Anolis sagrei: one gene and its partner. The protein of the gene in region 1 interacts with the protein of each later gene in a pairwise test. Links are inferred from orthologs where the notes say so. Each region holds a gene or a part of one and is shown on either strand. Other genes may lie near its edges.

Region 1 (7,962 bases):
TTAAACAGAGGTTGGATGGCCATCTGTTGGGGGTGCTTTGAATGTGATTTTCCTGCTTCTTGGCAGGGGGTTGGACTGGATGGCCCATGAGATCTCTTCTAACTCTATGATTCTGCAGCAGTCCAAATTCTCAGCTAGATAGTCATATTGGACTTCAAAGTCCAATATTCCACAGGATGCAATCATGGCAGGCAAAGTGGAATTAAAATGCTATAATTGTGCAGTGTGAAAAGGCTCTTTATGTTTCATTTGAAAACCAGAGACGCACACTCTCAGCCATACTATTGATGGGACATTTTTACTGTTCTGTAGAAAAGTCAGTGGTGTCAAGAACATGATGTCACTAAAGGGTTTAGTCATTTAAGCAACAAAATCATTACTTTCAATTTAGCTGAGTCCCTCAAACCACAACAGATTGGAAATTCATTTCTAAATCACCCCAGTCCTGGGTAAAAATATCCTTAGTAGTCCATCATATTCATCATGTATTGATGAGAAAGAGAACCACTAAAAAGTACTATATTTATGTCATCTAATTTAATTGAATTACAAACATAAGTAAAGGTAAATGTTTCCCCTTGACATTAAGTCTATTCATATCCGACTTTGCAGGTTGGTGCTCATCTCCATTTCTAAGCCGAAGAGCAGGCGTTATCCATAGGCGCCTCCAAGGTCATGTGGCCGGCATGACTGCATGGAGCGCCGTTACCTTCCCGCCGGAGTGGTACCTATTGATCTACTCACATTTGTATGTTTTCGAACTACTACGTTGGCAGGAGCTGGGCCTAACAGTGGGAGCTCACCCTGCTCCCCAGATTCAAACCACTGACCTTTCAGTCAGCAAGTTCAGCAGCTCAGTAGTTTAACCCACTGCACCACCGGTGGCCAACATACACAGGGAGTATAAAAACAGGAATTGGTAATTTTATGATATCAGGTTGTAATAGATATGAAAGCCTTTCAAAACTGTTTAAACAACAAAATACTATTTATTGTCAAAGGCTTTCTGGCCAGAATCACTGGGTTGTTGTAGGTTTTTTCGGGCTATATGGCCATGGTCTAGAGGCATTCTCTCCTGACGTTTCGCCTGCATCTATGGCAAGCATCCTCAGAGGTAGTGAGGTCTCAGAGGTGACCTCACTACCTCTGAGGATGCTTGCCATAGATGCAGGCGAAACGTCAGGAGAGAATGCCTCTAGACCATGGCCATATAGCCCGAAAAAACCTACAACAACCCAAAATACTATTTTTCTCATATCTATACATTGTTACTATATGGAGATCCAGTATCTCAACCTCAAAATATTATCTTCTCAAACAACAAAACAAACAACAAAAACCCAATTGTATTTAGCACCAATTATGTGGAAAACTCTTCTGATCATTACTTCTTTTCATTGTGAACACAGCTAGCCTGATCTAGAAGATACATGCTTCTTTGCATGATGAGCAAAATGACACTTTTTTGTGCTATGGTCCTTTGTAGAAGTAGTTTGATTCAAATAGGATCTTGGCCCAAGGATGCTGTGATAAATGCAGAATTTTAATAGCTTCATCTTTGTTTTGTCCTTATTTTAATCATGTGGCTGTCCCTTACTGACAAGGACTTTTGTTATAGGCAAGGGCAAAGGATCAAATTATTAATTCCGATCTGAATTTCCTAAGTTTTTTCCCCTGAACCAATATGGCTTTCTTGTTTTAAAATGTAACTTTGCAATTTGAGTTGGTACTGAGTTCTATGGCTGTCTGAGCTGCATGCGCAATACCAGATATTATGACGTCACTGGAGATAGCAAGTGATGCATGTCTTTGCCCTCTATCACCTCTGATCTACCACTTTTTAAAAATAGTTTTTGTTTCTCTCTCTTTTACATAGGAACTTCTTTTGAGCCACACAACTGTAGCTTGCAAAACAAGACTCGTGAAGGTTCACAAACTAATAAAGATGAATAGCTGAATGCATATGAAATTGGTCCCCTCCATTGTAGTAATCTCTTGCCATAATGAAATATTTCCCTCTTCTTTCTTGAATGTAATGATGCGGATCCTAATCTCTCAACCTGTTGGTACCCTGGTGTTTTGGCTTACAACTCCCAAAAATCCCAACTAGTTCACCAGCCGTTAGGATTTCTGGAAGTTGGAGGCCAAAATATCAGGATACCCACAGGTTTAGCACCAATCTAACACAAAAAAATGAATTTTCCCTATTTCTTTATAAATGGGTGTATTAGAAAGAGAATACCAAGCGAACTCTCTGCTAAGTTTCAGTACAAGTCTTCTTACAAGTGTACAGCAAGTTATTATCTGCTATTGGATCTCAGCTAAAGCAAAAGCAATAAAAGAAGGGAGAACTATGAGGGTAGGCCCTTCTGATGGTAAGCATACTTCAGCTGGATAAAGGTTGGATTTACGCTGTCCTATATTCCAGGAACTGATCCAGATTATCTGTTTATTCCAGGTTATCTGGCAGTGGAGACTCATATAATCCAGTTTAAATCAGATAATCTGGGATGAGATCCTGGGATATAAGACAGTGTAGAAGAGACCAAAGTCAACCAGGTGTTCATAAATTAATGAAAGCTCTCCTGAGAAAAGAGGGCTCCTCGTCTACTGTAATTGTAGCAATTGTGCTTACGCCAGGCTCTGAAGCTCTTCTTCTGGACTGCCATGCCTCAAACGGTCCTGATTCTCCTGCTGGATGGTCATCCGCCTTTCCTCTTCCATCTTGGCTTTGCCCATTCGCAACACCTGCCAGCCTTCTGCTGCTGCTTCTTTTCAGGGTACCACTGGCCGCAGAGACAACAAGCAAGGAAAAAGCAAGCCAGCTGGCATCCCTTTGCTTCAAATTCTGGCTCTTCTCTGTGAAGAGCAATCCATTTCTCAGCAAGTTGGTGTTGTTTCTGCTGCTGCACAAGGGGAATGAGGAAGTGAAAATGACAGTCCCTCCCTGCCAGCACCAAAAGGACCTTCCCTTGCCTCTCCAGTTCAGGCAGACAGAAGAGGGGAGGACGTCAGGAGAATGCAGTTGGGGCTGTTCCACGCCTCTTCTGCTGTTGTGTGTATGTAAGCCAGGGGCGTTGCCTGAATAAGTTTTTGCCAGTGTGCCCAAAGGTGTACACAGGTGTGTAAGAAAGAACACCAACAACCCAATCCTTTGCACACTTTTCTTTTTACAGTAATTCTTTTGCTGCAGAGAAGCCAACAGAAGATAAAAATACTAGTCTATGTTTGTTTTGATTTTAGGCACCGAAAGAAGGAAGTTTGTTGCTCCATGTTCTGGGTTTCTTGTGTGTTTTGAATCAGATCACAGTGTCAGTTTTTTGTTGTGTGCCTTCAAGTCATTTCTGATCTATGGCTACCCTAAGGTGACCTGATCATAGGGTTTTCTTGGGATGATTTGTTCAGAAGAGGGTTGCCATTGCCTTCATCTGAGGCTGAGAGTGTGAATTGTCCAAAGCCACCCAGTAAGCTTCCATAGCCAAGCCGGGACTTGAACCCTGGTACCCCTATGTCCTTGTCCAGGACTCAAACTGCTACAGTACATCATGTTGTGGCTCAAACCTCAGCCTAGGGCAGCATTTCTCAACCTTGAGGCTGGAACCCCTGGGAGGGTCAAGAGGGGGTTTGAGAGGGGTCACCAAAGACCATAAGAAAACATAGTATTTTCTGTTGGTCATGGGGTTTCTACATGGGAAGTTTGGCCCAATTCTGTTGTTGGTGTGGTTCAGAATGCTTATTGATTGTAGGTGAACTATAAATTCCAGTGACTACAACTCCCAAATGTCAAGGTCTGTTTTCCCTTAAACTCCACCACTGTTCACATTTGGGCATATTGAGTATCTATGCCATGTTTGGTCCAGATCCATCATTGTTTGAGTCCACAGTGCTCTCTGGATGTAGGTGAACAACAACTCCCAAACTCAAGGTCGGTGCCCACCAAACCCTTCCAGTATTTTCTGTTTGTTAAGGGAGTTTTGTGTACCAAGAGTGGTTCAATTCCATCATTGGTGGAGTTCAGATTGCTCTTTGGTTGTAAGTGAACTATAAATCCCAGCAACTACAACTCCCAAATGACAAAATCAATCTCCCCCCACAATCCCACCAGTATTCAAATTTGGGCATATCGGGTATTTGTGCCAAATTTGGTCCATTGAATGAAAATACATCCTGCATATCAGATATTTACATTACGATTCATAACAATAGCAAAATTACAGTTATTAAGTAGCAATGGAATTAAAGTATGTTAAAAATTGGGCTGCTTTACAGCTACTTTGGGGAAGTGACTAAAATGTCATGCTTGGATGCAAACTTGCCTAAATTTAACTTCCCACAAAGCCATGAACAGAGTTTGGAAATGTTACTTCTTTAGACTGCAGCCCCCCAAATCCCCAGGCTGGCATGAATTTTATTGGACAGCTTTGGGCATCTTGCAGTGTTCCTGCACAATCTTCATTGCAGGATTGCAGTAAGGATAAAAAGCCACCCCTCATGTATGTCACCTCGAATAATTTGCAAGAACAAACAGAACAATACGATGAAAACATGTACAACTGAACAAAAAGTATATTTTTGTGAGTAGTGTAACACCAAATGAAAGGTTTCTTCAAGACTGTGAGGCTCCACATGTGTATCATGCTATTTATTTATCGTGTCATCAGCAACCATACCATTGTATTACATTTCTAACAGAGCAAAACGAACACACAAATTAAAAAAAAAACACAGATTTTGCAAACTTGGTAGTTGGTTAAATGTCCTTTGACCATGCTGAACTAAGGCTTGTCAAATTAAACAGAAAGCTAAAGAGGAGAACTAGAAAAGAAAGAATCCAGGAATCGAAAGAGACACAAATTTTCCACCTTAGTTATTTGGTATTATTCTCTCTTGAGGTAGCTTCCACCTTCACTTCTATTTCAGTCCTAGAATTTTCATAAAGTGTATGGTGAAGAGTTTATAAAACCACTTTGGTGAATACAGTTCTCATTAACATACTTTCCTATTAAGAGAAGTTGACCTGGATTTTCCCGTCACTATTTCAACTAGTGTTACATAAGCAGAAGCATTTGGGTGCTTTTCTCTTTCACTTCACCTTCTGCCTTAGCTTTCTTTTCAGGTTTTACACAAGAACAAAACAGACACAAGAAAACCCCAAATCTGCCCAAGTAATCACTGGCTGGACAAGACTTCCCTCTCCACGTAAAAAAGTTTTACAATTTGACACACTAATTCCATCTTGGACTTTGGAACAGATATATTTCGAGTTTCTATTTCTGCTAATTGTATGTGGTTCTGTGTATTGTTGAAGGTCAGGCCCGTAGCCAGGATTTCGATTCGGGGGGGGGGGGGCTGAGTCTGAGTGAAAGAGGGTCTACCCTAGCAAACCTTTCGTATCGTTACCCCAATACCCCATGCATATGGGATATATTGAGCATGGTGATCAGATCATGATATGAATAAACATAACAGTTTAAATAATGCACCAGTAAGGCCTTTTCGCGAAGCATCATGAGAATTTGGGGGGGGGGGCTGAAGTCCCTCAACCCCCCCCCCCCCCCGGCTACATGCCTGTCGAAGGTTTTCATGGCCAGAATCACTGGGTTGTTGTGAGTTTTTCAGGCTGTATGGCTATGTTCCAGAAGCATTCCCTCCTGACCTTTCACCTGCATCTATGGAAAGCATCCTCAGAGGTTGTGAGGTCTGTTGGAAACTAGGAAAACGGTGTTTATATATCCGTGGAATGTCCAGGGTGGGAGAAAGAACTCTTGTCTGTTTGAGGTAGGTGTGGCCACTTTGAATAGCATGTGGTTCTGTTTCTGATTATACTTTCCCGTCTACAAGCTTTTGAAGGGGGAGTTTAAAAAACAAAACAAAATAAAATCTTTGTCAAAGACCATGTTCATCTCAGGTTTGATAGCTTCACTTAATAATAATAATAATAATAATAATAATAATAATAATAATAATTTATTTCTACCCTGCCACCATCTCCCTGGAGGGACTCTAGCCAGTGGTTCTCAACCTGGGGTCCCCAGATGTTTTTGGCCTACAACTTCCAGAAATCCCTGCCAGTTTACCAGCTGTTAGGATTTCTGGGAGTTGAAGGCCAAAAACATCTGGGTACTCCAGGTTGAGAAGCACTGCTCTAGGCAGCTCACAAAAGCACTCAAAATGCAAACACATAAAATATACAATAAGTATTGACCAATATCACAATAACAATAACAATCCACATAAAATTATAAAATCCCACTGGTTAAAACACCAATAAAATGCAACAGTTTCTGCAGATATAAACAAATTGCAATCAGTATCAGTCCATAAAGTGTGAGGTGAAATAAACACCAGTCCTAAAATATAATCAGTAAGGATTCCTAAATAAGGTCAAAAGCCTGTTTGAATAGCCATGTTTTGGTTCAAGAGTCTTGGAGAGTAGGGGCTAATCTAATCTCACTGGGGAGGACATTCCAAAGCCTGGGAGCCACCACCGAGAAAGCCCTCTTGTCCCCACCAACCGCGCTTGAGCAGGACCAAGAGAAGGGCCTCCCCAGCAGATCCCAAAGGAAATAGACTGGACTTGAAGTGTTTAGAGATTTATAGGTAATGACCTGCACTTTGAATTGAGTCTGGAAACATATCAGCAGCCAGTGGAGCTGTTTTAATAGGAGCATCGTATGCTCTCTATAATTGACCCCAGTTAATAATCTGGCAGCTGATCTTCGCACTAATTGCAGTTTCCTGATCGTTTTTAAAGGCAGCCCCACATAGAATGTGTTACAGTAGTCCAATCCAGATGTACCTAAGGCATGGATCACCGTGGCCAAGTCAGGCTTTTTGAGGTATGGTCACAGCTGGTGCACAAGTTTCCTGATTCCAGGAAAGCATATTAAAACAACAGCTGTATCACCAGTTTTTAATAATTTGTATGATTTTAATTATTAATTTTAATTAGAGTGGAAACAAATAGTATGAGGAAAGTATGAGTGGCTGTATGAAAGAAGCTTTTGTCCCTTTAATAGCTGCAAGTAGAAATTTCAATAGGTGAAACCTGTCATGCAGACTTGAACTGCTAACATTTCCTCTTCTAAACAGCTATTAAAGGCACACAAGATTTGTCCTCATTTTTATGTGAATTCACAGACAAAAGAAGTGCAATGTTTATTGAGGTTTGTATTTTATGATTGCCTATAAAAAGCCCAGTGTCTTTCAATTGTTATATAATTGTATATATAGTTGTGTTATGTGGCCACAAAGAAATTTATACATACACATATATACTCATACACACATAGCATAGAGGTAATTTTTTTTTATACAGACAGAGACTCAGATAATCTTATAAGCCACAGACAAATAACAAATACATCAATTCTAACATTCTTTTTGGTTCTTCGTTCTTGATGCTAAAGTTGCTTACCTCAAAAACCTGAAGAACATATCAATCGAGTAAGTACTGAGTAAAGATAAATGGTTCAACAGCTCAGCTTGGGGTCCAATTCATTACGGATGCTCATTCCTCAAATGCTAGCTTCAATACACACATGAAGCTTTCTAGCAGCAGGAGATTTATTGGCCTCCATCCCAAAACCACAGGTTATCTGTGGGATTATATCTTGGATAGAAAAAAATATCCTGAGACTAGCAACTCCATCCATCAAAACAACCGTGTTACTAGAAAGCAAGTAGTTTGTAAAAGTTTAACATTTACAAGAAATAAATTCATTCTTTTTTCAGTGCAATTGTGATTTCAAAATCAGTTTTATAGTTTACAGTGACATCAAAAGTGATGTCACTAAATGGTGGCAGAGGCCCGATTCAAAGCCTGGCTCATGCCATGTTTTGTGTTCTGTTGTGCCAACAACAAAATAGATGAAAAGAGAAGGCATTTTGTATTTGAATGCACCGTGCCCTCATCATCTGCTTCAAATGGAATCAGCTCAGGAATACTGAATGCACCTCCTT
Region 2 (7,143 bases), on another chromosome or scaffold:
GCGACTCAAAAGTGTGCAGCGCGTCTCCCCAGAAATGCCCCAGTTTATATAATGGCAAATGGAGTTGGAAAGAGTTTAGCACAGACCTTAGAGAACCTGACCCGGTGTAAGGCCACTTCCTGTGTTCCTTTTTGTTTGGTGTCTTCAGTGAGCAAATAGAAATTTTGACATTTCCAGGTGATCTGGATTCTGTGGCATTTAGTGTTTTGTCATATATTGTTCTTGTATACTTTCAAGTTGAAGGTTTTTCTTGGCCATGTTTGTTTAGAGGAGGTTTGCCATTGCCTTCCTCTGAGGTTGAGAGAGTGCTCTCTTCAATTACAATGAGAATATTGGGTTGTTGTAGGTTTTCTCAGGCTGTATGGCCATGTTCTAGAGGCATTCTCTCCTGACATTTCGCCTGCATCTATGGCAAGCATCCTCAGAGGTAGTGAGGTGAGAATATTGTTGAGCAGGTGAAAATCATGATTTGTTTCCAAAGAGATATTTAAATTATTACATTATGTAATACGATTGTGTGCCTGGATTATAAACATCATTTTCTAATTGCTTGTATCATAAAAGCATTAAAAAAGTTTATCAAACTACAAAAACTTTGTTTTTGCAAGACATAAGGCAGAACATTTTGCTATAGTTTTTCAATAACTGTCTCATAGAGTCTTAACCAATTCAACATAGTTTGTGGCAGCCACAAAAACAACGTTTTTGGAGTATAGCAACTAGTTTCAAGGTAAGTTCTGTTGTTGTTGTCATTCATAGCTCTTCTGTACCACAAATGGTGCATCTACACTGTAGAATTGATACTTTTGACACCCCTCTGAACTGCCACAGTTCAATGCTATTAAATACTGGGAGTTGTAGTTTGGTGAGGCACCAGCTCTCTTTGGCAGAGAAGGCTAAAGACCTTGTGAAACTACTACTACTGTGATTCCATTTTGAGTGGTGCCAAACTGCATTCATTCTGCAGTGTAGATGCACCCGCAATTAATAGCACCATGAGTCCCCTTTAACTGCCAGGGCTGGATCCCATGAAATACTGGGATAGATACTTCTCTTGTGGAGAACGTTATGTACTGTGTAGAACGGGTCTTTAGGATGAAACCATAGCAGTTTAAGTGGGATCATAGTGCTATAATGATGAACTCTGAACTGTTCCCTGTATTTGGATGTTTGGAATCTACAACAAATGCACTGGAAAGTGTTAACAATTGAAGAGCCAACCAAAACATTATTGGCATCTTAGTTTTAGGCCTGTTTCTGGAGTTATTTGGGGTGCTGATTCAGGAACATTGCATTAGACTGACCACATCAGTCCTAGTTTCTTACAAAAAAAGATACAGTTATCTTTTTTATGGGAAGTTTTAAATAATTAAAAATAACAAAAAATAATGTTATTTTTATAGCATTCCTAATTGGTTCTATCGTAAAAACATGGAAAAGGATTACTAAACTTGTTCTATGTTTGTATAGAAGGTTACAGATAGCATATGAAAAGTTAAAAGTGGCAGCCACAAAAACAGAAGTTTCTGGAGTATAACAACTTCTTTCAAAGTACCGGTAAGTACTGCACAATTAAAGAGGAAGTAACACTTTCAAACTAGGAACCACTGGCCACATAGGGAAGCTGATGAAGAAACACAACCTACAAACTATCTATAGACCCACCAAGAAAATCCAACAAATGCTACGTTCAGCAATGGACAAGAGGGATCCTCTCTCCTCTGCTGAAGTCCATGTATACCATGTATACCATGCAGCTGTGGACAAGTCTCCATAGGGACCACCAAATGCAGCATTGCCCAATCACGAGTCAAGGAACAAGAAAGATACTGCAGACTAACTCAACCTGAGAAGTCAGCCATAGCAGAGCACTTGATGAACCAACCTGGACATAGCATATTATTTGAGAACACAGAAATGCTGGACCACTCTAACAACCACGAGGAAACCATGAAAATGAACAATATTTGGCTACCATTATTTAAAAACTCTAAAATCAGGATAATAAATAAAAAACAACACTCACAAAACAGGGGAATTCTAGACAGGAAACAATCAGGGCCAGCTAACACCTCCCAACAAAGAATTCCCCCAGGCAGGAAGCAGCCAGGCTTTGAAGCTGCAAGGCCATTCAATGCTAATCAAGGTGGCCAATTGCAACATTCACACTTGCCTCAAGCAGACAAGAGTTCTTTCTCCCACCCTAAACATTATTCCACAGATATATAAACTTCACTTGCCTAGTTTCCAACAGACCTCACAACCTCTGAGGATGCCTGCCATAGATGTGGGTGAAATATCAGGAGAGAATGCCTCTGGAACATGGCCATACAGGCTAGAAAACTCACAACAACCTAGGAACAGAAAGTTTTTCAAATTTGTTACATAGTGTTATTGCATTGTCATTTTATTTCCTCCATATACTGTATCTGATGCCGTGGTACTGCAATTTAAAAACAAGGTAGGTATTAAATACTGAAAGACCTTGGTGGCTTTTAGCCCATCCTGTAAAACAGCGTTTCTCAACCTGGGGATCGGGGCCCCTGGGAGGGCCCCGAGGGGGTGTCAGAGGGGTCGTCAAAGACCACCAGAAAGTTGGTCATGGGGTTCCTGTGTGGGAAGTTTGGCCCAGTTCTATTATTGGTGAGGTTCAGAATGCTCTTTGATTGTAGGAGAACTATAAATCCCAGCAACTACAACTCCCAAATGTTAAGGTCTATTTTCCCCAAACTCCACCAGTGTTCATATTTGGGCATATTGAGTATCCGTGCCAAGTTTGGTCCAGATCTACCATTGCTTGATTCCACAGTGCCCTCTGGATGTAGGTGAACTGCAACTCCAAAAATCAAGGTCAATGCCCACCAAACCCTTACACTGTTTTCTCTCAGTCATGGGAGTTCAGTGTGCCAAGTTTGGTTCGATTCCATTGTTGGTGGAGTTCAGAATGCTCTTTGATTGTAGGAGAACTATAAATTCCAAGAACTACATCTCCCATATGTCAAGGTCTATTTCCTCTAAACTCCACCAGTGTTCACATTTGGGCATATCGAGTATCCGTGCCAAGTTTGGTCCAGATCTATCAGGCCCGTAGCCAGGATTTCGTTTCGGGGGGGGGGGGGGGGGCTGAATTTTTTCAGGGGGGGTTTGGGGGGCTGAGTTTCGGGGGGGGCTGAGTCTGAGTGAAAGAGGGTCTAACCTAGCAAACCTTTTGTATCATTACCCCAATATCCTCATGCATATGGGATATATTGAGTATGGTTATCAGATCATAATATGAATAAACATAACAGTTTAAATAATGCACCAGTAAGGCCTTTTCGCGAACCACCATGAGAATTGGGGGGGGGGGGGCTGAGGCCCCCCGAGGCCCCCCCCCCCGGCTACATGCCTGAGATCTACCATTGCTTGAGTCCACGGATATAAGTGAACTACATCTCCCATATGTCAAGGTCTATTTTCCCTAAACTCCACCAGTGTTCACATTTGGGCATATAGAGTATCCGTGCCAAGTTTGGTTCAGATCTACCATAGCTTGAGTCCACGGTGCTCTCTGGATATAGGTGAACTACAACTCCAAAACTCAATGCCCACCAAACCCTTACATTGTTTTCTCTTGGTGATGGGAGTTCTGTGTGCCAAGTTTGGTTCGATTCCATTGTTGATGGAGTTCAGAATGCTCTTTTATTGTAGGTGAACTACAACTCCCAAATGACAAAATCAACCCCTCCCCAACAAAACCCCCACCAGTATTCAAATTTGGGCGTATTGGGTATTTGTGCCAAATTTGGTCCAGTGAATGAAAATACATCCTGCATAACAGATATTGACATTCAAATTCATAACAGTAGCAAAATTACAGTTATGAAGTAGCAACAGAAATAATTTTATGGTTGGGGATCCCCACAACATGAGGAACTGTATTAAGTGGTTGTGGCATTAGGAAGGTTGAGAACCACTGCTGTAAAAGCACTGTAAAAGACCAAGGCAAAAAAAAACCCCCTCTGAGCAACATTTTGCCGAGGAAACACCAACCAGGCCCTGCAGTGTTTCGCGTGGCCACTTGGGGGCAGCAGCGCACCTGGCGATGTTTACTTTTTTTTTCTCCTCCTCTTCTGTCGCTTGCCTGGCGTCACTGTGGGAGGAGGCAGGGCTTTTTCCCTGGCGCCTGGTTCCAGCATGTGGAGGCCCCGAGCAGCTGGGGTCCCTTTGGCTGCATGGAGGAGGGTCGCAGGCTGCAGAGCCATTGGGGGCCCCGGGAGAAGGACCCCCGCCGCCTCCTCCTCCTCCTCCTTACCTTTCCAAGCCAAGCAGCCAAAGGTGAGCAAGCAAAGGGGCAGAGGCTCCCAATAAGCGCCTCTTTGGGGAGGGAAGGAGGGAGGAAAGGAGCTTGCAGGCGGACTCAAGGCTATGGAATCCTGGGAGCTGTAGTTTTGCAAGATCTTCAGCCTTCTCTGCCAAAAGAGTGCTGGTGCCTCACCAAACGACAACTCCCATGATCCCATGCTGTGTCTACATTGTAGTATTGATGCACTTGAGCTACATGTCTCAAGGCTATGGAATCCTGGGAGCTGTAGTTTTGCAAGGTCTGCAGCCTTCTCTGCCAAAAGAGTGCTGATGCCTCACCAGACTACAACTCCCATGATCCCATGCTGTGTCTACATTGTAGTATTGATGCACTTGAGCTACATGTCTCAAGGCTATGGAATCCTGGGAGCTGTAGTTTTGCAAGATCTTCAGCCTTCTCTGCCAAAAGAGTGCTGGTGCCTCACCAAACTACAACTCCCATTATCCCATGGTGTGTCTACATTGTATTATTGATGCACTTGAGCTACATGGCTCAAAGCTATGGAGCCCTGGGAGTTGTAGTTTTGCAAGGTCTTAAGCTTCTCTGCCAAAAGAGGGCTGATGCCTCACCAAACTACACCTCCCATGATCCCATGGTGTGTCTACATTGTAGTATTGATGCACTTGAGCTACGTGACTCAAGGTTATGGAATCCTGGGAGTTGTAGTTTGGCAAGGTCTTCACTCTTCTCCGCCAAAAGAGTGCTGGTGCCTCACCAGACTACAACTCGCATAATCCCATGGTGTGTCTACATTGTAGTATTGATGCACTTGAGCTACGTGACTTAAGGCAATGGAATCCCGGGAGCTGTAGTTTTGCAAGATCTTCAGCCTTCTCTGCCAAAAGAGTGCTGTTGCCTCACCAAACGACAACTCCCATGATCTCATGGTGTGTCTACATTGTAGTATTGATGCACTTGAGCTACGTGGCTCAAAATGACAATGTTGACATTTTGATTGGCAGAAGTCCAACTTTTGCATAAGTCTTTTGTTGTTGTTGTTGCTGATGCCAGAATTCCCGGCCAGTCACATACAATTATGACACTGTCCCAAACCCCCCCCCCCTTTTTTTAAGGTTGCAATCTCTTTTTCACATACATAGCCACTTACATTCTATTCATATTGTATTTTAACTTTTGTATTATGTATTATAGTATTGAATTTTATCTGGAACTGTATTGTACTCCAGAGGGCTGGCTTTAGAACAGCAGGTTAACCACCGGCTACAGCCGCAGTAAATCTTGTCAACTGAAAGGTTGACAATTTGAAGACGGGTCAAGGTGAGCTCCTGACCTTCATCCCAGTTCCCCGCCCACCTAGCAGATAGAAAACAGTAATGTGAATAGTTGAATAGGAGAGGAGAGGCATTTTGAATAGGAACTGCATTGAGCTGAGAGGTATTTTAGGCAGGCTTTCAGAGGAAAGTTTACCAACAAAGAAAGCTCTTTGGCAAGGAGATGGAGCAACAGCACCCCCCTGTGTCCGGGGCCAAGCACAGCCTCAAAAAGATCCTGAATGATGAGAAAAAGCCTATATTTACCTCTCTCTGTTGTCTGTCTTGTCATTGTATAATCAGCATTGAATGTTTTCTGTATATGTGTTCTGTGATCCGCCCTGAGTCCCCTTCGGGGTGAGAAGGGCAGAATATAAATACTATAAATAATAATTATAAATACAGTAATAATACTTTGAGCTATGAGGAGAAGTGGGTAACAAATGAAATTATATATATTTGTGTGTGTGTGTATGTGTGTGTATAGCCTGTGTTGAATGGTGGTAGCAGAGAAATGTTAGGCATTTTAATGCCACCTTTCCTTTCCTGATCTACACTCTCTTTTCTAAGAGAGTGTAGATCAGAGGTCCTCAAACGTTTTAAACAGAGGGCCAGGCCACAGTCCCTCAAACTGTTGGAGGGCTAGATTATAATTTGAAGAAAGCATGAATGAATTCCTACGCACACTGCACATACCTTATTTGTAGTGCAAACACAATACAATAATTAAAATAAGAACAATTTAAACAAATATAAACATTAATATTTCAATGGGAAGTGTGGGCCTGCTTTTGACTGATGAGACAGGATTGTTGTTGTTGTGTGCTTTCAAGTCATTTCAGACTTACGTTTACCTTGAGTGAGGGCTGGTTAAATGACCTTGGAGAGCCGTATTCAGCCCCTGGGACTTAGTTTGAGGACCCCTGGTGTAGATTGTCCCATAACTCTCTCACAATGGCCCTTTTGGGGAGAAGCACAAGTAAACGTGGGTTTTGGGGGAATGATGGAAGAAATAAGAAATATTTCTAATTTAAATTACAACCTAGAATTTTATCCCTGATTTATTAGTGTGAATATTTTCTTTGGTGTTCTTAAGGAAAGAGAGTTTTTTTCATCTTGCTGAGATACTGTGCTACATAGCACCCCCTCCCCCAAAAAATAATTACAAAAGGAAAAATTAATAAGATGTAGGCACAAATTTCAACTGTGAAATATCAAGAATGTGATGTTTCCATCTCTCTTATCATGGCGGTCACTCATCTTTCTAAGACAGATCACTTTGAGCAAGCAAGTTAATATATTATCAGAGCTTTTGACAAAAAGCCAATTCAAGTGGTATTGGGTTCAGTTAGGATACGAAGGGAGTTTGCAAACAGGGATTTTGTTTGTCTGATAGGAGTGGAATAGTGCATGCCTTTCTAGAAAAACCATAACTATTATTGTTATTCAATAGCATTATTTATCACAATGATTTATCCATCATAATACTTGGCGGGACCCTTTTAAACAAGACTGCACCTCCAAAAG

Evidence for each region. The genes of interacting proteins can lie anywhere in the genome.
Region 2: the proteins of DAPP1 (region 1) and FXN interact in binary tests that used the Homo sapiens proteins (3 or more experiments, as listed by UniProt). The link is inferred for Anolis sagrei from reciprocal best matches to the Homo sapiens genes DAPP1 and FXN.

What each region holds. Positions count from the first base shown.
Region 1 is NC_090025.1:26,504,466-26,512,427, reverse strand, and holds the start of DAPP1 (dual adapter for phosphotyrosine and 3-phosphotyrosine and 3-phosphoinositide), read right to left. Parts: upstream 3,002-7,962; 5' UTR 2,740-3,001; coding exon 2,636-2,739; intron 1-2,635. UniProt on the Homo sapiens protein: May act as a B-cell-associated adapter that regulates B-cell antigen receptor (BCR)-signaling downstream of PI3K.
Region 2 is NC_090022.1:221,737,630-221,744,772, forward strand, and holds the start of FXN (frataxin, mitochondrial), read left to right. Parts: upstream 1-4,127; 5' UTR 4,128-4,176; coding exon 4,177-4,317; intron 4,318-7,143.